4 linked regions of the Saccharomyces cerevisiae S288C genome follow. Changing the gene in region 4 together with the main gene of any one other region gives a genetic interaction. Each region holds a gene or a part of one and is shown on either strand. Other genes may lie near its edges. The genes, in order: INO4, VPS4, DGA1 and LRO1.

What was found.
Region 1: mutations in LRO1 (region 4) and INO4 together harm fitness more than expected from each alone (negative genetic interaction), as found in Saccharomyces cerevisiae (2 studies listed by BioGRID).
Region 2: of LRO1 (region 4) and VPS4, changing one enhances a phenotype caused by changing the other (phenotypic enhancement), as found in Saccharomyces cerevisiae (2 studies listed by BioGRID, with this or other methods).
Region 3: of LRO1 (region 4) and DGA1, changing one enhances a phenotype caused by changing the other (phenotypic enhancement), as found in Saccharomyces cerevisiae (13 studies listed by BioGRID, with this or other methods).

Annotation. Positions count from the first base shown.
Region 1 is NC_001147.6:109,705-115,266, reverse strand, and holds INO4 (Ino4p), read left to right. Parts: upstream 1-3,380; coding exon 3,381-3,836; downstream 3,837-5,562. Other genes in the region: WSC3 (Wsc3p), read left to right, coding at 1-1,129; YOL107W (uncharacterized protein), read right to left, coding at 2,137-3,165; ZEO1 (Zeo1p), read right to left, coding at 4,629-4,970; SHR5 (Shr5p), read right to left, coding at 5,378-5,562. UniProt on the Saccharomyces cerevisiae protein: Transcriptional activator of phospholipid synthetic genes (such as INO1, CHO1/PSS, CHO2/PEM1, OPI3/PEM2, etc.).
Region 2 is NC_001148.4:883,746-890,019, reverse strand, and holds VPS4 (AAA family ATPase VPS4), read left to right. Parts: upstream 1-2,182; coding exon 2,183-3,496; downstream 3,497-6,274. Other genes in the region: DPB2 (DNA polymerase epsilon noncatalytic subunit), read right to left, coding at 1-1,046; CSA1 (Csa1p), read left to right, coding at 1,312-1,977; YPR172W (pyridoxal 5'-phosphate synthase), read right to left, coding at 3,622-4,224; BSP1 (Bsp1p), read right to left, coding at 4,462-6,192. UniProt on the Saccharomyces cerevisiae protein: Involved in the transport of biosynthetic membrane proteins from the prevacuolar/endosomal compartment to the vacuole. Required for multivesicular body (MVB) protein sorting.
Region 3 is NC_001147.6:793,576-798,283, reverse strand, and holds DGA1 (diacylglycerol O-acyltransferase), read left to right. Parts: upstream 1-2,951; coding exon 2,952-4,208; downstream 4,209-4,708. Other genes in the region: SRL1 (Srl1p), read right to left, coding at 1-608; ENV9 (Env9p), read left to right, coding at 1,491-2,483; NuA4 histone acetyltransferase complex catalytic subunit ESA1, read right to left, coding at 4,416-4,708. UniProt on the Saccharomyces cerevisiae protein: Catalyzes the terminal and only committed step in triacylglycerol (TAG) synthesis by using diacylglycerol (DAG) and fatty acyl-CoA as substrates. Required for storage lipid synthesis.
Region 4 is NC_001146.8:635,395-642,881, forward strand, and holds LRO1 (phospholipid:diacylglycerol acyltransferase), read left to right. Parts: upstream 1-5,001; coding exon 5,002-6,987; downstream 6,988-7,487. Other genes in the region: SWM2 (Swm2p), read left to right, coding at 549-989; ESCRT-0 subunit protein VPS27, read left to right, coding at 1,592-3,460; ATG3 (Atg3p), read right to left, coding at 3,788-4,720; NRM1 (Nrm1p), read left to right, coding at 7,296-7,487. UniProt on the Saccharomyces cerevisiae protein: Catalyzes triacylglycerol (TAG) formation by an acyl-CoA independent pathway. The enzyme specifically transfers acyl groups from the sn-2 position of a phospholipid to diacylglycerol (DAG), thus forming an sn-1-lysophospholipid.

The sequences.
Region 1 (5,562 bases), on a different chromosome or scaffold from region 4:
GATAGCCACGACAGTTTCTACCACTTCAACAACCTCTTCCTCGACTTCCTCTACTACCTCTTCTACCACCTCTTCTACCACCTCTTCTACCACCTCTTCTACTACCTCTTCCTCGACTTCCTCTACTACCTCTTCTACCACCTCTTCTACCACCTCTTCTACCACCTCTTCTACCACCTCTTCTACTACCTCTTCTACTACCTCCTCTACTACCTCCTCTACTACCTCTATCTTTTCTGTTACGTCTAGCTCCTCATCCATTACATTGTCCTCATCTGAGCATACCACAGTCGATAGCCGTACTTCTTCACCCTCTTCCACCTTGGTGCCAGTGTCCTCGAGTAGCAGCACACTATCAACTCCAAAAGTGACCTCAATGACCCCTAGTACGTCATCAACGATACCAATAGTTACCTCAGTGGAACTAGTGACTAGTGTGGTTACAAAAGCGATCGTGAGTACTTCTGATCAACATCAGGAAACAATATTTGTTACGAGGACATCCGTGGTTGAACGATCTTCTGAGGTAGCTACTGCTACTGCTGCCGCCTCAAATAATAGATCTAATTCGACTTCGAAGCAGCGTCTGAGTGGTGGAGCCATTGCCGGTATTGTTATTGGTGTTGTGTTTGGCGTAATTTTTATTATTTTGATTCTATTGTTCCTGATATGGAGGAGACGGAAATCGCACGACCAATTAGACTTGGAGGAAACGAAACATTATCAGCCCTATTCGTTCGGTGATGAGGATGCAAATCCAATAGGACCGCCTCCCTCCTCTGGTACGACAAATTGGATGAGACATTCAAGGGGTAATACAGCGGGTTCTATCGGTACAAGTAATATGTATGGTTTTTCTATGAGTAATGGTGCAAATTATAGTAGTCCTAGTTCAAACACCAGTGGAAGCATCATAAACAACTTGGCTGGCTTACAAGATGCTACGGTTCAGAAACAGAACCTTCCATCGACAGTTTTTGAAGAGGCAAATACTTTGAATAGTGCAAATGAAAGGTTCAGTGCCAATTCTTTACCCGACATGATGATGAGCGGACCATTGCAAGTGGTAAACCCTGATAATCCTGATAATCCTGAATTATCTAGTACCGTATCTCATAATCGAGCCTGAAAAACTCGCATAAACTCTCAACATTAATGGTAATCAACTGGTTCTGCTGGACGGAGCCATTCTAAATCATTAACTTTATAATATCATGTTTTATACCCTAATATTTAAACAATTTACTGCTTTTGGCACTTCAACTGTTAGAAAAAGAACAATAATATTTAGTATTTAGTTTCATTTTTAAATTTTCTGATTCACTTCATTTGCAGCTTCTAATGATGTTTGTGGTACAAAAATATAAACAATTTTAAAATATTAAAAAAAAATGCTTCCAATCGGATTTGAACCGATGATCTCCACATTACTAGTGTGGCGCCTTACCAACTTGGCCATAGAAGCTAAATCTCTGAAAGCTGCGCTCTTCAAAGGCGAACCAAGCAAGATAAATTAATATTATTATGTAAAACTATCGTTTTCCTTTTGTTGATTCCTATATCCCGGAGAAGAACTACTAATTATCAAATTATTCACCAAATGATCAAATTTAGCAGCGTAGTGAGTGCCACTATGTAGATGTTGGAATAAAAACCAACTATCGTCTATCAACTAGTAGTCATACTATCAATATATTATCATATACGGTGTTAGATAGTGACATAAGTTATTATAGAAGCTGTCACCGAAGTTAGAGGAAGCTGAAATGCAAGGATCGATAATGTAATAGGATAATGAAACATATGAAATGGAATGAGGAATAATCGTAATATTGGTACATAGAAATATAGATTCCATTATGGGGATTCCTATATCATCGAGGAGAACTTCTAGTACATTCTGTATACCTAATATTATAGCCTTTATCAACGATGGAATCCCAACAATTATTTCAAAATTCACCCATTTCTCAGTAGAATTATTAATATTGGGGAATATATGGGTTTCTATGGTTCGATAGTACTGGCGCACATTCAGCATACAAATCCTACTACCTTGGTAAAGACCGAAATGCCAACAGCCGTCATTAAATCACGATATAATAGAGCATATTTCAAGTTATATAGATCCATATATCAAGGGTTTACCATACGCTCTTCCAAAACTTGTAAAGCTAACTGTCTTCGTCTTTCTTCTACAGTCATAATTTTTTTGGCGCCTCTACTTTCTGCGATGGTGTTCCCAATATCTATATCAATATCATGAAAAGGTTTAATGACTTTAAATTTTACAACAACTACATTATAAATGAAATTGAAAATCGGCCTCAAAATCGGCTTAATTAGATCAGGAAAGAAGTAAATCAATTGAAAAGTATCAGATGCATCGCCGACCAATATTTCCTGACCACCTTGAGAATTAGTTGTTGGCAAAGAGGGACAATTCAAGGGTGCAAGTTTCTGGAAAAACCTCAAGTACGACCAACTGGCAAAAAAGGTAACCCAAATGGAGAACAATTGAGCAAAATGATGAAACCATATTATTTGGGTTACCGTCATTGTAAACATTACAAAAATGGGTAGTAATTTGAACCTAAAGTTTTTGGCCAAAAATTGAGGTGTCTTCAGATGGATTATAGTTGTTTCAGGCAATAACTGTCTATAAATGATAGGGAAACCGATTAAAATTGTGTAGTTCCCGTCTAAGGGAATATCCAGCCTTACCTTATTAGAGAAAAAAGATACTAACAAAGTCAGCATGATGATCAGAACGTTTGTAAGAGAACCTAAAACTATGATAAATTTGAACATTTCTTTGGAAGAGTTCCAATTGCGTTCAATGAAGGATCCACCAATGATCAAATTCAATAAGTTCACTACCACCTTCCAAGCTTTAGTGTCGATGAAGTTGGATAGAACTAATGAGGTGGGGTACCTCCAAATCTGCGAAGGTACCATTTGCAAAAGCGGCGAAGTAATCAAGTTGTAGTCCAAGTTAGGGTCTTCAAGAACTAGCTTGTTGTACAAGGATCTCCTTATACAGAAAAGGGTTGCAGTTAAGCATATATAAGTGACTGTAATAAATTTAGTAGCATCAGGAATCTTATTGATATTTAAAAATGAATCCGGGATATTCAATTCTAGGAACCTCGAACTATATTGCATTATAGTGAACAAATATCTTTGTTATAAATAGATTAGTCGTCTTCTTTTTCTTGGCTTGGTTTGTATGAGCTTGTTACGTATCAAACAAAATATTCACATGTTTTTCTCACCTTAAAGACAGAGGCGCGATTGCGTTTGCGAAATTCCAATGCCAACAAGATAAGCTTGACGAAGGAGTTAAGAGGGCGGCTTGAACTAAAAAGAGAAAAGCAATAATGACGAACGATATTAAGGAGATACAAACAATACAGCCGGGATTGTCCGAGATTAAGGAGATAAAGGGTGAACTGGCTAATGTGAAGAAAAGGAAACGCAGGTCTAAGAAGATTAATAAATTGACTGATGGTCAAATACGTATAAATCATGTTTCGTCTGAAAAAAAAAGGAGAGAATTGGAAAGAGCTATATTTGACGAACTGGTAGCAGTAGTACCTGACCTGCAACCCCAGGAAAGTCGGTCAGAACTAATCATATACCTGAAAAGCTTGAGTTACTTAAGTTGGTTGTATGAAAGGAATGAAAAGCTGAGAAAACAAATCATAGCTAAGCATGAGGCAAAAACCGGCAGCAGCAGCAGCAGCGATCCCGTACAAGAACAAAATGGAAACATTCGGGATTTAGTACCGAAGGAGTTAATTTGGGAGCTGGGTGATGGACAGAGTGGTCAGTGATTCAAGGAGTAGGGTAAAGTAAGTAATATAAGCGAAGAAATTCTTCCCATACCTTTTCTTCACTTTGCAGAGGGGAGTGGTGCATATCCCACAAAGAAAAGTAGCAACAACAATGATATATATACGTTACTACTAATGCTTTCCTTCATCGAAAGTGTGCCGAAGTATTTATTTAATCTTTTAGTGTTCAACTTACTATAATGTGATACTTTTTCAATATTGTTTGCCGTTGAAGCGATAGTGCTTTATGTCATTTTATCTTTCTTTTACATTGTTTTATTTTAGAGCTAAAATTGAACATCAGTTTGCAAGAAGTCAGTTGGTTGGCCTTTGCTATTAAGAGACCATAATGTTATAGTGATTGAGATCAGTTTCACCAACTAATAACAATTAACCCGGGCGGTTAGTGTAGTGGTTATCATCCCACCCTTCCAAGGTGGGGACACGGGTTCGATTCTCGTACCGCTCATATTTTTACTTTCTTATCAAACTTTTTTTCCTCCGGGACGTGAAATAACCGCCGAGGTTATTCTCGGAGCATTCTTTTTTGTGGCTTTTGATCATCCATCATCATCATCATCATCATTATTACTACTACTACTACTACTACTATTATTATTATTATTATTATTATTATTAGTATTATTATTATTATATTGATTAGTTATTAGATAGATACAATTAAGAAAAATTTATGTAAAAGGTCAGAATAAACAGCATTTTTCTCCTCTTTTTTTATTTTTAAAAAAAGAAAAAGAAACTTCTAGTAAAGTGCAGCACATTCAAGTGTGATTAGTTGAAAATGGAAGCAATTTTACGGTTCAATTTCTTCAAGAAACCGCCTTCCTTCTTGGTTTCCTTCTTCTCACTGACGGCGGCGGAAGCTTGCTTCTTAGTTTCTTCAACTTTGTTGGCAGCTTCGGTCTTCTTTTGTTCGACACCATCAGCAATGTTTTGTTCTTCCTTCTTCACCTGTTCAGCTTCTGGAGTAGCTTCATTTTTTAGGTTGTCGATAGAAGCTTCAGCTTGTTCCTTTACTTCTTGGCCCTTGTTTTGCAAAGATTCTTTGGTTTCTTCCAACTTTTGTTGGACATCTTGGGCGGCAGTTTCAGCTTTGTTTTGAATTTCAGACATTATTAATTGATATAAACGTAGTTTTGTATGTTTCTTTGATTTGAACTTTTAAGTATACAGAGAAAAAAACCGATCAAAGAAAACTAAAGTATAATGAGGTTAAAAACGAAAGTAATAAAGTAGAAAGGCTATCAAGCAAACTGAGATGATCTTCGACGTAAAAACTCGCTCTATATATATACGCCATATAAGCCCATCGGCGATGGGGGACAACACGAAGAAACAAGAGAAGAGGAGAACCGCACAGAAAGCAGCAGAAACAGAGCAAACCAGCATTAACTAAAGATGATAAAAATAAAATTAGGTAAGAAACCTTAATTGGATATACAAAAATACACTGGAGGCACAAATCGCCATCGATATAAAACACGATAAAGCCCTGGTGCACCCATAAACCACACGTTTAACTATTTGGGTCGGGGCACGACGAAATCTAGGGATAGGCACCCGGACCGTCGGGGCAATACTAGGCGCACACCGCGCTCGTGAAGCAGACCTCCCGGCGAGTTTAGCTGCGCCACGTACTGCTCTAACGCGAGAGACTCCTGAAACACAGGTCTAGAAAGAAGGGGCCCCAAAACCCAGCTCCACA
Region 2 (6,274 bases), on a different chromosome or scaffold from region 4:
CCAGGGGGTAAAGTCATGGAGGTAACATGGAATTTATTTCCTACAGAATAGTATATTCCTTCCACAAGAACCATGCAACCTGGCACGTAGTAATGGCCTTGTGTAGGGATAGTTTGGGAAATGTCAATTTCGACAGATCCAGACGGATCTTCCAGTGACCAATTGCCCTTAAAGTTCTTATTTAAGAGCCCCAATAGTAGAAAGTTTTGAGCATCCCTACCTAGTAGGTTTTTTATTGGGGTGATACTCATACTGCTGGATTGCTGCTGTCGGTTAGTATTGGACAGTTCATTTTGTAAAGACACCATAGATGATAATGGATTAAACATGTCACTGTTTTGGAAGTTTTCATTTCTCATGACTCTGTCGTTCGTGAGGTAATATCTTGTCAAGAACATTTGAACTTTGTCCTCTATATCTGGTAGAAAACCCGCAATGCCTCCTAGCCCATTCTGCTTTTTATTGGGGACGAAAATAAATTGCATTTTGTGCGGATTGTATGAGAATCTTTGTTGCTGAGAAGCATTGATAACTTTGAAGTAGTCCCTCCAGTCCAACGCCTTGGAGCTTTCTGGCTTGAAAGGCTGTTTATATTCATCTCTTTCGGTGGGCTGTCGCATGGGTGAAGATAATGAAACATTTTGTAAGGATGAATCAGCAGCGATCGGCATTTCATCGTCACTGTTGTTCTCATCGTCATCTGTCCGTCCCAAGATATTCTCCTCATGTTGAATAGGGTGTTCATGACTCCATTCGACTTTCTCACGTTCTTTCATCTCCTGTATAACTTCTTTAACCCCGCTCTGGTCGATGAAAAGGCCTCTTTCTTGTTGTTTCCATACTGCAGCAAATTGCTCGAGAAATTTTATTGTAGCAGGCCCTTGTCTCCAGTTAGCACCTATATTAGTGCCAACGAATTCTGCAAGAGCAGACAGTCCATCAGATTTAATTGATAAACCATATTTTCTTGATAAAACTCTATACGCCAGTGGCCTAAGCAGCGGAGGCTGAATTTTAACAGGCAGAACATTCCCAGAGCCAAACATTTCACACATAGACGCTTCTAGTTCCACTTACAAACTTTAAAGGCATAAACAAGTCATCTCAACTTTATTGTAACATGTGTTAAAGATGCCCAGTTGAAATATTTTTCTATTATGTCACGCGAAAAATAACGCGTCACATCACTTTTGTTCCTTTTGTCGTTTTTCTTCTTTTAGATTCCATCTTGAAAAGAGATGAAATGGACAAAGTAACATAATTTAGACCCAACAAAGTAAAAAGAAGGTTGGGTTGGCATTGAAGATCACAATGGGAATTCAGGAAAAGACATTGGGGATACGAAAAGAGCGCAAATTGGTGGTTGTGCCTCGCGAAAGAAATCATGTTAGACACGCTTCACAAAGGACACGTTCTAAAAACTACAAGAATATCTCCAAAAAGAGGGCTCAACAACACGCGTTTGGATTCAATATTGCTAAGACTCTTGCCAAGATCCAAGCGTTTGTATGGGGGTCTCCCGCAGATGAGGAAGAAGAAAGCGTTGTCCCATTGTCTAAAAATTCTCAGGATTGTGTGCCTCTACAATGGCAAGCAAAGTTTGCGCAATTGCGGCAGCAGCTGCACTCTACACAAAAGGAACTACAATTTGTCAAGGAAAAGTGTCATCTGTTGCAGTCGGTGTTGGACGACGCAAACATCGATCAAAGATACCTGGAGTCTCGTCGAGACATGAAAAATATTGAGCGAGACAACCTCAAACCGACAGAAAATTTACCACCTTCGCCAGTAAGAGCAGTAAACCCGTTAGTGACTTCAAGTCCGATTCACATGTCGCCACTCCAGTCGCGCCAACGACCAGTTTCTTCCCTACAGCCCCCAAAGGGCCCCAACTTCTACGCCAAGTATCCTAAGCTTCCTCAAACGAACATTCTCAGAGAATCTCCGACTGAGGATTCGGTTCCGCACGCTGAATAGAAACACAACACGTCATGGTTGTTCTTTCTGTACATCTATTTATTCTTGCTTGATGATATTTATTGTATTGCTTTACGGGTACCCCCGCTGGGTGAAAAAAAAAAAAAAATAAGAACTTCATGATATCGAACGATTTAATCGTGGGTTGAGGACATGGAAGACAAAAATAAAGCAGCATAGAGTGCCTATAGTAGATGGGGTACAAATGAGCACGGGAGATTTTTTAACTAAGGGAATAGAACTGGTTCAAAAGGCCATTGACCTGGACACAGCCACGCAGTATGAGGAGGCGTATACAGCATACTATAACGGATTAGATTATTTGATGTTGGCTTTGAAATACGAGAAAAACCCTAAGTCGAAGGATTTGATAAGAGCGAAGTTTACAGAGTATCTAAACCGTGCAGAGCAGTTGAAAAAGCACTTGGAAAGTGAAGAGGCAAACGCGGCAAAGAAATCTCCTAGCGCTGGTAGTGGTTCCAACGGTGGTAATAAGAAAATCTCTCAGGAAGAGGGTGAGGATAATGGTGGAGAAGACAACAAAAAGCTAAGAGGTGCCTTATCGAGTGCTATTTTGTCTGAGAAGCCCAATGTTAAGTGGGAAGACGTGGCTGGACTGGAAGGAGCCAAAGAGGCCCTTAAAGAAGCCGTTATTTTACCTGTCAAGTTCCCACATTTGTTCAAAGGTAACCGTAAGCCCACTTCGGGAATCTTATTGTACGGACCACCAGGTACAGGTAAATCATATTTGGCAAAAGCAGTGGCCACCGAGGCCAATTCTACCTTTTTCAGTGTTAGTTCCAGTGATTTGGTTTCTAAGTGGATGGGTGAATCTGAAAAACTTGTCAAACAGTTATTTGCGATGGCAAGAGAAAATAAACCTTCTATTATTTTTATAGATGAAGTGGATGCGCTAACAGGTACCAGAGGAGAAGGAGAGAGCGAAGCAAGTAGAAGAATTAAAACAGAATTATTGGTACAAATGAATGGTGTTGGGAATGACTCCCAAGGTGTTTTGGTCCTTGGCGCAACAAATATCCCATGGCAACTGGACAGTGCCATCAGGAGAAGATTTGAAAGAAGAATATATATACCATTACCAGATTTGGCGGCAAGAACCACCATGTTCGAGATTAACGTCGGCGACACTCCATGCGTATTGACCAAGGAAGATTATAGAACTTTAGGTGCAATGACTGAAGGTTATTCCGGGAGTGATATTGCTGTAGTGGTGAAAGATGCGCTAATGCAACCGATAAGAAAAATTCAAAGCGCGACACATTTCAAAGATGTCTCTACGGAGGACGACGAAACAAGAAAACTAACACCATGCTCTCCAGGTGATGATGGCGCCATCGAGATGAGTTGGACGGATATTGAAGCTGATGAATTAAAAGAACCAGATCTCACCATAAAGGATTTCTTAAAGGCTATCAAATCGACGAGACCTACCGTGAATGAGGATGACTTGCTGAAGCAAGAACAGTTCACTAGAGATTTTGGTCAAGAAGGTAACTAGTCAATTGATTAACGTGCTAATGTAGATTTCTTGTGTACATGAAAATAAAAAATAAAAAAAAAAAAAAAACAGAATAATTAAATACAGAATCGTATGCAAAATAGATAAAGAAAAGCAGAGGACAGTTAACTCTTCCCTTTACTTAGAAACATTGTTCTGTTCTCATTATTGGATACCCTAGCATTATCAATTCTAACTTTAACAACGGCGGTGTTCTTTTCAAATATAAAAGCTTTCGCATCAGGATTAGCCTTTAGTATTAAATCTTTATAGTACTTGGATTCTTCACTTTCAGGATTGACAATTTCGGTTTCGCCACCAATAGATGCGCTCATTTGGTTCAATTCGGCTTGATTTAACTCCTGTAACAAATTTAAAAGCTCGCTTTGACGTTGCTCTTCATGAGGAATAGAAGTCGGCGTCGGAGTCCCAGAGATGCTTTCCTTGCCCACTGACAAATTATTCGCGATGATCCAATCGTGAAACAACAGGGCGACCTTAGGGTTCTCCTTGATGTTGTAAAACTTTTGTGTGTCCTGAGGAGAAACAAATATAATGTAGTCATTCTTATTATCTGTTTGACCGAACAGTTTTTCACCTGGCACATAGATATAGTTCATCAATGCCACTGAAGGGATGCAGTCTTTAGAACAGGTGGCCACGTGAACATATTTGGAGTTTTTGATCAGGTTCAGTAGATGCGCTGGTAATGTACTAGTCCAAGCCATAATTGAGATGTTTCAGGGTTTGAATAGCCTGTAATTTTACTGCTATTTTCTAATAAGGGAGGAAAAGTGTAGCAAAAAGATCGATGATTTATATTCCTTCAGGTTCATAAGGGGAGCAAATGTCAAAGCGCAAACGTGGGAAGTGACGATAATACATGTATCCCATTAAATTATCATATTATTGTTACATCATATGTACGTACATACATGTGTAAAATACGGAGGTCTACTCTGTAGTTACACGCGTGTTGGAAGTTTTCTTCTGGGACCACGAGTCCTATTTTTATTCGGGTGAACTAATGGTTTAGTTTCCTTCACTGTTTCATCTCTAGAAGTAGTATACTTGTCAGAAGTTGCAATATTAGTGTTAACACCGCTAAGTTCTGGTAGAGTATTAGATGCTCTTAAGTTTCTAGAGGCAATTATTGCGTCTAATTTTGCGTTTATGCTCAGTTCGTTTGAGGACTCTAAAACAGGCTCGGTTTTAGATTTTTTCATCAATTCGACTTTTCGCAATGCCTCTGGCAAAGAAATTTTACGTTGTGGCGCCGTTGGTGGCCGTTTCTTCAGGTTATTCCGCAATGATAGAGCTTCAATTTCGTCATTTAACTTGTTAATATCATCACCATTTTTGAGTGTAGTATTTTTCGAATTATTTGTTAGAAATGATTTTTTCTGAGGGATTGCAGGCTTCTGCTGTTTGGTTTTCTTCAGATTTTGTATACCTTTTATTGCTTCTGGAATACTGTCCTCCTCTTCTTTTTTAATGTTACGGTTGCTGGATCGTAACTTGGGCAAATCGATTGAGTTTTCGAAGTTCTGCTTTGTTGGAGAAGTTTCTACGGGACGTAGCTCAGGTAATACTATATTCAACTCCACTTTCTTTGGCGGTATGCTTGGTTTGGTCTTATGGGCGGCCAAATTTGCATTCCGTAGCTTTTGAGGTTTTTCAGGCAAAGAAGGCTTGGAAGTTGTCGTGAGATTCGAGTTTAGCATAGACTTGATAAAACTTTCAGATCTTGGAATTCTTTTCGCAGGTGGAGAAGGAGGGGTTGGTTTAGGTTTATTTTTCATTGTAGGAGATAAGGTGGTTGGTTTTAGTTGTATGGAATCCAAGTAATCGATATGAGAACTTTTTACAGTTGTTTTGGGAGTTTCCATTTCCGAATTATAACTCTTCGCCTTTGTCAATTTGTTATCTTCCAAAGAACTTAAAAAGCTCGCCGGTTTTGTAGAGCGTGAGACAGGTGGAGCAGGCTTAACGCGCTCAGGTACCACAGCATCCGGTTTTATTGACCTTGATGACGGACTTTCTGTAACTTCTGCTTTGTTAGGCCTTGTTGGAAGAAGCGGTTTCTCTTCATTCCCATCTGTGATTTTGATATGATCACGCCTTGTGGGCAAAGGCGGTGGTGATGAAGAAGAGGAGGAGGAGGGTATATCGGCTCTTCCTGGTAATTCAAAATCATATTGGATGGTGATTATTTCCTTCTCTCTCGGTCTGGGTCGACCCCGACTGGGCATACGAGGACCTTTTTCAAAGGAAGGCAAATTTTTGTCAGCATTGGAATCATTATATGTTTGAGAGGCTTTCAATTTCTGCAATAATAAATAATCTTCTTCAGAAATTAAAAATTTTTTTTCTTTTTGAGAGGCACTTCCCTCCAAATCCGGCCTTGGCGTTATTCGTTCGAGATTCAGCTCACTTAATGAGTAATGAGTCTTCTTTGGAGAAAACGTCATTTCATAATTGTACGCAGATCGGTAGGCCAAATTGTCGCAACCTTCCACATTTTTCCCTGTCATCATATCAGCCCTTCTGTATTCCCCAGAGTTGTGACTTCTAACTGGTGAAAGCGCTTCCCCCGCTGGTTTTGAACTAGGAATATTACTGTATCTCTTAGAGTTCAAATCCTCCACTTTCGATAGAAAGTTCACCAATTCAGGGTCACGCTCATATTTTGTCATACTTCCGAAACTTCGAAAAGCTAGGAAAAGCTGGTTACTGTGACTTTTATTGATTAGAATTCATATATAAATGTATATATTT
Region 3 (4,708 bases), on a different chromosome or scaffold from region 4:
GAAGTGGTGTTGTACCATTGTACGTTACCTGGAGAGGTAGTGGTAACAGAAGGTGCACCGGTGACAGTAACGTATTGTGTAGTCGTATTTGGGGTGACTGTAACGTACTGGGTAACGGGCTCATTGGTGACAGTGACAAACTTTGTGATTGGGACGCAACCATTGGAAGTTGAAGCCTGTTCAAAGGACTTGACCTTTGCATCTTTGTTGTTTGAATCTTCGTCACTGACACTTGCTGCAGTAGATGATGGAGACAAAGTAGTGGAGTCATGAAGGGTTAGCAGCAAAGTGGACGTGATAGTCGAGGTGGAGGTAATTTCATGGGTGGATTCTGGGGTTACAGATCCAGAGGCCGAAGAGGTGGACAAGGAGGAGGAGGCCGCATTGGTAATGGTGGCTGAAGTTGAGGTGAACCAGCTCGTGGAGTAGACCGTTGAGGTGACAAAAAAGGTAGTGGTGTCGTCGGCGTACGATATGGTAGTCTCTTGGGGCACCAAGGAGTAGCTGGGCGCTAAAGTGGTAGTTGTAGAAACAGTATTGTTTGAATAAATCGCTGACACAGAACTTGCGAAGGTTAAAAGAGCGAAAAAGACAACGGATTGAAGCATTTTTTTATTTTTGGTTGATAAAGAACGACTAAGGTGAGAGTGAAAGTGATGTGATTTTTAATTATGTAGTGTAATTGAAACAATAAAAAAAAAACAAGGGAATGGACGAGACCTATTAATGGGTACTATGGCTCAAATAGCAAAAAAAATTTGTAAAATGGGTAAAAAAATGAGAGAAATACGCGAGAAACCTCTTGGTTGGATGTTGTGCTAAACTAGTTGCTTAAACGCTTGCAAAACTTTTTTATAGATAAAATATGCCAAGTGAAAAGAAAAGGAAGCAGAAGAGAAAAACTTAGAAAGGTAGAGGTAAGAAAGAATAAACCAAAATGTAAGCTAGGTGAGGGAAATATTTTGGAGCTTAAATATCTCGAACGACACTCACTCTCGTCAGAAAAATCTGTCGAGTAACTCAGACCACCTCCGATAGCATACCTTGTTTAGTTTCATAATCGGCAGAGACGTCATTCCTGCACAGAACGCCAAAATTCGTGGCCCCCGCGGTACCTGAATCAGGGCCAAGAATTTTGGCGTTTCGTGTTGTTGACATATTCCGAAAAAGGTATTGAGCCACAGGTCTTTCGCGTCTTCTAAGCCCCAAGATAAAGAAAATGCCGCCCTGCTTAATCACTGTTTTTTTTTGGAAAACCCTGAAGTATAGAAGTAGGGCATTGAAAGAAAAGATATGCGGGTAAGATATGAAAAAATTGAGGAAATGAGACCCAAGTGTACATGGGTATATATAAACAAATCATTATGGTGCATGATGCATCACTTACAATGCACACACACTATTGTCTTTGTAGAAACGGGGAAGACAATGGTTGTAGGCCTGATTGGTATTAGAGGCATCCGCAGTACGAGACATACGCCAAAGGCAGAATGTTAGACCCACGAATATTGCCATACTACGACCCGGCTGTGGAGAGGAAGATTGCTGTAGTAACAGGCGGAAATACGGGTATTGGGTGGTATACTGTCTTGCATTTGTATTTGCATGGGTTTGTCGTTTATATTTGTGGGAGAAACTCTCACAAGATTTCGAAAGCAATCCAGGAGATACTGGCAGAAGCAAAGAAGAGGTGCCATGAAGATGACGACGGTTCAAGCCCAGGCGCGGGCCCAGGTCCAAGCATTCAGCGTCTAGGGTCACTGCACTATATCCATTTGGATTTGACAGACTTAAAATGTGTGGAGAGAGCGGCACTTAAAATTCTCAAGCTGGAAGACCACATAGACGTGCTTGTTAACAATGCAGGGATTATGGCGGTGCCCTTAGAAATGACGAAGGACGGATTTGAAGTGCAATTGCAGACTAACTACATTTCGCACTTCATCTTCACGATGAGATTATTGCCTTTACTGCGCCATTGTCGTGGCAGGATCATTTCCCTGTCCTCGATAGGCCATCATCTAGAGTTCATGTACTGGAAACTGAGCAAGACGTGGGATTACAAACCTAATATGCTTTTCACATGGTTTAGGTACGCGATGAGTAAAACCGCGCTAATCCAATGCACGAAGATGTTGGCCATCAAATACCCTGACGTTCTTTGTCTCTCCGTTCATCCGGGTCTGGTGATGAACACAAACTTATTCAGTTATTGGACAAGGTTACCCATCGTCGGTATTTTCTTTTGGCTGTTGTTCCAGGTCGTAGGGTTCTTTTTCGGCGTATCGAACGAACAAGGTTCACTAGCTTCTTTGAAGTGTGCATTGGACCCGAATTTATCTGTCGAAAAAGATAACGGGAAGTACTTCACCACGGGGGGTAAAGAATCTAAATCGAGCTACGTTTCTAACAATGTCGACGAAGCGGCATCGACTTGGATCTGGACCGTTCATCAACTAAGAGACCGTGGTTTCGATATATAACAAGACGGAAAGATTGAAAGAGTAGATAGATGTACATTTTATTTAAATATTAGTTAGTCGTTATTGTAACTGGTAATCAGAGCAAGAAGTTTTTCTGTACTTTGTTCTCTGCAGGCAACTAAGTTACGGGCCGACAAAGGCTTATGATGTGCGTTTTTTATTCAATTGATAGATTCAGTCAGCATTGACGTAATGGGAAGGCTAGAAAAAGAGAAGACTGAATTTGGAAACTTATTCCTCAAAGCAGACCAGTACTTCCACCGCATTTCTGTACTTAACCAAGCACGACAGTGGTCTATCAGGCTTGGATCTTTCACTACACTTCCGCCAAAGTTTTTTTTTTTTCCTGTTTATCCCAGATCACGTTTGTTCCATTAAGGAGGTTTACTATCATCTCATTTCCATTTACACATACACTTACATATACATAAGGAAACGCAGAGGCATACAGTTTGAACAGTCACATAAATGTCAGGAACATTCAATGATATAAGAAGAAGGAAGAAGGAAGAAGGAAGCCCTACAGCCGGTATTACCGAAAGGCATGAGAATAAGTCTTTGTCAAGCATCGATAAAAGAGAACAGACTCTCAAACCACAACTAGAGTCATGCTGTCCATTGGCGACCCCTTTTGAAAGAAGGTTACAAACTCTGGCTGTAGCATGGCACACTTCTTCATTTGTACTCTTCTCCATATTTACGTTATTTGCAATCTCGACACCAGCACTGTGGGTTCTTGCTATTCCATATATGATTTATTTTTTTTTCGATAGGTCTCCTGCAACTGGCGAAGTGGTAAATCGATACTCTCTTCGATTTCGTTCATTGCCCATTTGGAAGTGGTATTGTGATTATTTCCCTATAAGTTTGATTAAAACTGTCAATTTAAAACCAACTTTTACGCTTTCAAAAAATAAGAGAGTTAACGAAAAAAATTACAAGATTAGATTGTGGCCAACTAAGTATTCCATTAATCTCAAAAGCAACTCTACTATTGACTATCGCAACCAGGAATGTACAGGGCCAACGTACTTATTTGGTTACCATCCACACGGCATAGGAGCACTTGGTGCGTTTGGAGCGTTTGCAACAGAAGGTTGTAACTATTCCAAGATTTTCCCAGGTATTCCTATTTCTCTGATGACACTGGTCACACAATTTCATATCCCATTGTATAGAGACTACTTATTGGCGTTAGGTATTTCTTCAGTATCTCGGAAAAACGCTTTAAGGACTCTAAGCAAAAATCAGTCGATCTGCATTGTTGTTGGTGGCGCTAGGGAATCTTTATTAAGTTCAACAAATGGTACACAACTGATTTTAAACAAAAGAAAGGGTTTTATTAAACTGGCCATTCAAACGGGGAATATTAACCTAGTGCCTGTGTTTGCATTTGGAGAGGTGGACTGTTATAATGTTCTGAGCACAAAAAAAGATTCAGTCCTGGGTAAAATGCAACTATGGTTCAAAGAAAACTTTGGTTTTACCATTCCCATTTTCTACGCAAGAGGATTATTCAATTACGATTTCGGTTTGTTGCCATTTAGAGCGCCTATCAATGTTGTTGTTGGAAGGCCTATATACGTTGAAAAGAAAATAACAAATCCGCCAGATGATGTTGTTAATCATTTCCATGATTTGTATATTGCGGAGTTGAAAAGACTATATTACGAAAATAGAGAAAAATATGGGGTACCGGATGCAGAATTGAAGATAGTTGGGTAATAATGAATTCATTGGAAAACACAAAATATGTTAGAATAAATAAGGATTTTTTAGTGTTTGGGCTGTATATCTTAAGTAAGAGTATTAACTTACAGGAATACTGGAGTTCTCGTTGAATATTAGTGATTGTTTTACGTAAATTTCATTTATTTAAAGCTTTTACATTAGAAGTTGTTTGAATGTAAGTTTAGGAAAGCACTACATAGCTTACCAGGCAAAGCGTAACTGAGAGGCAGTAAATACCGGTGGTTTCCATATGAGTCTATTAGGGTCTATTGTCCTTCTCTTTTTGGCTTTAAGTCGATTGTACCTATCTAAAATATCTTCATTCAGGAAAATAATATGCTGACCCTTGTAATATCGCAGGATATTCAGTGTCTTTGCTGTGTGTAATATATCTGTAGTGGTCATCGAAGTCATGGAGCTTATTTCGTCTATAGTAATTTCCTTCTGGTGTTCCACTAATAGCGTTATGAGAGTGTCCGACCAATAGGCTCTAT
Region 4 (7,487 bases):
ATACAATAAAAGATTTGAAGGAAAAAAAAAGTGCCTGTGCGCGATGTTACTTAAAAACAAAAAGATTAAATAATTGCAATATCATCTAGTTGGATTCTAAATATACTACCAAACAAGGGCTTAAACATTTTAATAAACGATTTACATATTTACTGTGGGTATGGCAATGGGTGAGCGTAGGTATGCTACGGTAGGCGATGTAGTGAGTAGTGCGGACGAACCGTAGCCGTAACGTTTAATGCCCCCTGCCTTTTCTTCTCAATTGCTCACATGTAAGCAAAGTCTTCCAAGAATCTGGTTTTACTCGTAGCCTTTTAACGCTGTTTTTTTTTTTTGCACACCTTTAAAACCTATAGAAACTCCTTCATATAAAATGTACTAGTTATAAGATGACTTTTTATATTCAAAATTAGAAGAAAACTTAACTAAAATTAAAAAAATAGCGGCTATTAAAAGGTATTAAAAAGTGAGAAAAAAAGAAAAAAATTATAAACTTGAGAAATCAAAGGAGACTAAATGCATAAGCAAAGAGAAGAGGATCTCCTCGGATGATAGATTTATACAATTACTCTAACTTAGAAGGTTTACTAGACGGATTAACGGACTTGAATCGAATTCCGAAGGAATACTCCGCAGTATTGGAGCCATATTTTCAGAATATAGCAAGAAATGCACATTTAAAGTCTAGAGCTCTAAAAATTTGTCGTTCTAATTTCCATAAATGGAACGAAGAAGGTGCGAAGACAGTCAATCCGGAAATTATAAGAAGATGCCTTAACCTGTGGTATGTTTTGAAGGGCAAGGAATATAAAAAGTTGAAGGATCCTCCGCCTGCTGATAATATCATTAAGGATGAGATTGATGTCTCATATGTTAAGAATTTGAATGTAGTCAGGTTGGAATTTGACGAATTTGGTAAACTCATAAGTAATCCATTAGAGAATTTGATCTTGGAAGAGGTCGAAGTGAATGATTTCATACAAGAATAAACCTAAAGTGTGTTCACTCATCTAATATGCACGGAGCCTACCTTTTAGCTTTTGCTGCCAAACTAAACCAAGATTGAAAGATATATAATCGACTATCTTTCGTCTCGTAATCTGTATCATGCAATTTAAATTAATTATCAACATAAAATGCTCTAGTTAGCACGCGCATATCCAGGAAAGTTCACCAGTAACTATGTACTAGACAAAAGCAAACTGTTCGGAGCGACCATACACCATATGTTGTTGAATCAACTTTTCTTAAGGCTCTTTCGAGTTCATCATTAACCAACCTAGGTATTTTCCCGATTTTTTGGTAATATGTCAAAACAGCTACTTTGTATACATTTATAGACGCCTGGTGTCCTTTGAGCCTCACTTATATAAAGTAACCTTCACAAGATTTTGGATTTTGGTAATACATACGCTACTGCTATTTCTTGCGGAGCAGCAGAATCATCTTGCTCGGCCTCCTTTTCTGAAAATTTCGATGATACCTGAAATAATCATCATTAGCAGAGGGAATTTAAAAATAGAGGGTGTAAAATTATCAAGATTTTTTTTTGCTAAGGTGAATGAGTAGTGAGTAAAGAACTAAGAACAGTATGTCCGTTAGCACGCCAAGTGAGTTAGACGCATTAATAGAACAAGCCACTAGTGAGAGCATTCCCAACGGTGACCTTGATCTCCCCATAGCGTTGGAAATTTCAGATGTGTTAAGATCTAGAAGGGTAAATCCCAAAGATTCTATGCGTTGTATAAAGAAAAGGATTCTCAATACGGCCGATAATCCAAATACCCAATTGTCTTCCTGGAAGCTTACCAATATATGTGTAAAAAATGGTGGAACGCCTTTTATTAAGGAAATTTGTTCCAGAGAGTTCATGGATACCATGGAACATGTCATTTTAAGAGAAGATAGCAACGAAGAACTTTCTGAGCTGGTAAAGACCATATTATATGAACTATACGTAGCCTTCAAAAATGATTCGCAACTTAACTATGTGGCAAAAGTTTATGATAAATTAATCTCTCGTGGCATTAAATTCCCTGAAAAGCTAACACTTTCCAATTCTCCGACTGCAATGTTTGACTCGAAGACGCCCGCAGATTGGATTGATTCTGATGCTTGTATGATTTGCTCCAAAAAGTTTTCTCTACTAAATAGGAAACATCACTGTCGTTCCTGTGGTGGAGTTTTCTGCCAAGAACACTCATCAAATAGTATACCCTTACCTGATTTGGGTATATATGAGCCAGTCAGAGTATGTGATAGCTGCTTTGAAGATTACGATTTGAAGAGACATGACGACAGTAAAAAATCTAAAAAACATCGCCATAAAAGAAAGAAGGACAGGGACTACTCAACTCCTGAGGATGAAGAAGAGCTGATAAGGAAAGCAATAGAACTCTCCTTGAAAGAATCTAGAAATAGCGCTAGTAGCGAGCCTATTGTCCCCGTTGTAGAATCAAAGAATGAGGTGAAGAGACAAGAAATAGAAGAAGAAGAAGATCCTGATTTAAAAGCTGCTATTCAGGAAAGCTTGAGAGAAGCTGAAGAAGCGAAGCTACGCAGTGAGCGTCAAAAAGCCTCTAGACAGATGCAACCCCAACAGCCATCACCTCAACCTCAACCTATCCATTCCGTTGATTTATCTGATGAGGAGAAAGACAGCATATACATGTTTGCTTCACTTGTCGAAAAAATGAAATCGAGGCCCTTGAACGAAATTTTGGAAGACTCTAAATTACAAAACTTGGCTCAAAGAGTATTTGCTTCCAAAGCAAGGTTGAATTATGCTTTAAATGATAAAGCTCAGAAATACAATACTTTGATAGAAATGAACGGCAAGATTTCGGAAATTATGAACATATACGATAGATTATTGGAGCAACAGCTACAAAGCATCAATTTGTCTCAGCAATACACACTTCCACAAGTCCCTTCTGATCCGTACAATTACCTAACAGAAAATGTGCAAAATCCAGCAGAAAGCTATCAAACACCTCCCCTCCAGCAACTATCATCTCATCAATACAAACCACAACAGGATGTCTCACGCCAACAATCGGTAAAAGCAAATTCATCACCTACCACTAATATTGATCACTTGAAAACCATCGATGTGACACCACACGCACAGCAAAAGCCTCAATCGCACGTTGAACTTGCACCTTCGGACCCACCTTATCCAAAAGAAGAGGCCGAAGATGAAGGAACACAGGCAGTGCAAGATGAGGAATCCTCCACACAAGAATCCCGCGAAAGGCCGTATCCAGTAGAAACAGAGAATGGTGAAACTTCAATAAATAAACGGCCTCAAGGCATTACACGTTACGATTTTCCAACTGTTCCTGCACGCAAATTCGTCCAACCGGAGTCAACTGTACCACTTCCTGCAAGTTCCTCTGAAATTCCGATCAAAGAGGAAAGGCCGCCTAGTCCTCAAGAGGAACTGCTAATAGAGCTTTAATATTGTAGCCTTTTCTATGTATTTGTAAAAAGAAACCTAGCGCTTATAAATATATACATACATATATATATAATTGCTTGTTACGCAACTTATACATATTTCTGTCATTAAACTAGTTTTTAAGGTGAATATTCATAATTTATGTCAGTATTAACATTGAAACCGTCAAAAAAAAAAGTATCAATATAGACAAAGGAAGGACCATTTTAAGAAAGTGGTTTTAAGGAAGAAACTTGTTCCTGCATATTTATAGTTAATTCCTATCTTCTTGTTTATCCTGTTTTTTGACCACCTGGCTTGCAGCTAATAGTGAAAAAACACAAATTTTTACCAACCTTCCATGGTATAGTCATGTTGTATACTCGGTGTAACACTAGTAATAAACTTTAAGAAAACAATCAAGTATTGGTCTACCCGTAACGAATCATCAATATCGTCTTGTAAATCCTCCCAGTCTCCGACACCGTCCAGCTCTTGTTCTTCCTGCAGCTCTTTCCTTCTTCGTTGTCTAACCACACGAACCTTATCTAGCAATATTTTCATTACATTAGCATGCTTACATGGATGAATGGAAACAGATAACACTGAATTCTTGTAAAAAGGTAGCTTTTCAATGGTGGCTGTCTTTGTTCTATAATCTGCTGATATATCTTCGAACATCTGCTCAGGGCTTAGTGGTGAACCATTAGAATTAAACCCCACTATATACATTTTAGGGACCCTATAAGATGTCGAGTACGCAATATAAAGGTCGTAATACCTTTCTTGCGCCATATCTTTGGCTAGGCCACCTTTAGCATTAAATTCTTCTGTATCGTCATTTTCATCCTCCTCTTTTATTTCCATGTCTTGTATTAGCTCATCAATATCATCGATAGATGAGTCCTTGGTCCCCCCCGCAGGCGTACTTTGCACATGTTCAGTTTCAGATCCTATGTATTCCAGAACATCATCTTCATCTCCATCTTCTGCAAAACCTTTCATGATTACATCTGGCCCTTCAACTTCGACACATTGCTCGGCACGTTTATCACAGGGAACTTTTCTAATTATCAGAAACTGCTTATTCTTCGGTAAAAAATCTCTGTAACTAATATCTGACGACTCTTCGTTCCACTTCCAGGTGGGAAACATATGACATAAATAATCACCTGCTTGTACAAACTCCTCAGGAGTTATTTGACCTGTGGTTAAAAAGGTAGATTTGTGCGTTATGGGGGTAAGATATTCTCTCCAACTACTTAGTGTAGATCTAATCATGATAATAAAATTGTATTTACTCCTTTGTACTTCTTTGTTCCTAACTTCTAGCTAGCTTGATATACGTCAAGTGTACGTAATCATTCAAGTATCTACTTTCCTTTAAATAGCCCTTCGCTCTGCTTCCCTTATAATAATAATGTCCGTGTACAAAATTGAATGCCCAAGAAGGTGAAATTTGAAAAATAAGAAATCTACTAAATACCGATACGAAGAAGCGTATAGTAACAGCCATTACAAAAGGTTCTCTACCAACGAATTCGGCGACAATCGAGTAAAAAATGGGCACACTGTTTCGAAGAAATGTCCAGAACCAAAAGAGTGATTCTGATGAAAACAATAAAGGGGGTTCTGTTCATAACAAGCGAGAGAGCAGAAACCACATTCATCATCAACAGGGATTAGGCCATAAGAGAAGAAGGGGTATTAGTGGCAGTGCAAAAAGAAATGAGCGTGGCAAAGATTTCGACAGGAAAAGAGACGGGAACGGTAGAAAACGTTGGAGAGATTCCAGAAGACTGATTTTCATTCTTGGTGCATTCTTAGGTGTACTTTTGCCGTTTAGCTTTGGCGCTTATCATGTTCATAATAGCGATAGCGACTTGTTTGACAACTTTGTAAATTTTGATTCACTTAAAGTGTATTTGGATGATTGGAAAGATGTTCTCCCACAAGGTATAAGTTCGTTTATTGATGATATTCAGGCTGGTAACTACTCCACATCTTCTTTAGATGATCTCAGTGAAAATTTTGCCGTTGGTAAACAACTCTTACGTGATTATAATATCGAGGCCAAACATCCTGTTGTAATGGTTCCTGGTGTCATTTCTACGGGAATTGAAAGCTGGGGAGTTATTGGAGACGATGAGTGCGATAGTTCTGCGCATTTTCGTAAACGGCTGTGGGGAAGTTTTTACATGCTGAGAACAATGGTTATGGATAAAGTTTGTTGGTTGAAACATGTAATGTTAGATCCTGAAACAGGTCTGGACCCACCGAACTTTACGCTACGTGCAGCACAGGGCTTCGAATCAACTGATTATTTCATCGCAGGGTATTGGATTTGGAACAAAGTTTTCCAAAATCTGGGAGTAATTGGCTATGAACCCAATAAAATGACGAGTGCTGCGTATGATTGGAGGCTTGCATATTTAGATCTAGAAAGACGCGATAGGTACTTTACGAAGCTAAAGGAACAAATCGAACTGTTTCATCAATTGAGTGGTGAAAAAGTTTGTTTAATTGGACATTCTATGGGTTCTCAGATTATCTTTTACTTTATGAAATGGGTCGAGGCTGAAGGCCCTCTTTACGGTAATGGTGGTCGTGGCTGGGTTAACGAACACATAGATTCATTCATTAATGCAGCAGGGACGCTTCTGGGCGCTCCAAAGGCAGTTCCAGCTCTAATTAGTGGTGAAATGAAAGATACCATTCAATTAAATACGTTAGCCATGTATGGTTTGGAAAAGTTCTTCTCAAGAATTGAGAGAGTAAAAATGTTACAAACGTGGGGTGGTATACCATCAATGCTACCAAAGGGAGAAGAGGTCATTTGGGGGGATATGAAGTCATCTTCAGAGGATGCATTGAATAACAACACTGACACATACGGCAATTTCATTCGATTTGAAAGGAATACGAGCGATGCTTTCAACAAAAATTTGACAATGAAAGACGCCATTAACATGACATTATCGATATCACCTGAATGGCTCCAAAGAAGAGTACATGAGCAGTACTCGTTCGGCTATTCCAAGAATGAAGAAGAGTTAAGAAAAAATGAGCTACACCACAAGCACTGGTCGAATCCAATGGAAGTACCACTTCCAGAAGCTCCCCACATGAAAATCTATTGTATATACGGGGTGAACAACCCAACTGAAAGGGCATATGTATATAAGGAAGAGGATGACTCCTCTGCTCTGAATTTGACCATCGACTACGAAAGCAAGCAACCTGTATTCCTCACCGAGGGGGACGGAACCGTTCCGCTCGTGGCGCATTCAATGTGTCACAAATGGGCCCAGGGTGCTTCACCGTACAACCCTGCCGGAATTAACGTTACTATTGTGGAAATGAAACACCAGCCAGATCGATTTGATATACGTGGTGGAGCAAAAAGCGCCGAACACGTAGACATCCTCGGCAGCGCGGAGTTGAACGATTACATCTTGAAAATTGCAAGCGGTAATGGCGATCTCGTCGAGCCACGCCAATTGTCTAATTTGAGCCAGTGGGTTTCTCAGATGCCCTTCCCAATGTAAATGACCGACATTGACTCACTATCCATCCGTGTATTATTTCAAAGAGCGAAAAGAAGGCGCGTCGCGTCGACGCGCCTTTTTAGGCTAGAAAATAAACAGAAAACAAAAACAAAAACAAAAAAAGGCGAAAAAACAAACGAAAAAACAAACGACAGTAGATAGAGGAGAAGGTTTTTGACAGGTTTGTGTAATTGGTTATTTGCTTTTATAGATTATATATACACAAACTTAAAACACTGTTTTCTAAGTAGGCTGCGGAGAGGGCCAATTGCAGCAGCGACGTACGCATAGAGGAAAAACAACCGTTCATGTCCATTATGAAGCAGAGGCTACCACTGGGGGAGTTTTCCAGCTCGAAGATCAACAAACTGGCAATTGCCAATATTGCAGACGCTAGCGAGCCTAGAAACCATGGAGAAAACAACGTCGGGACTGTGTGTCTTCCCTCTATCAAGAGTTTGATGGTTAGTCCTGAAGTATACGAAAACACGAAGAGTCTT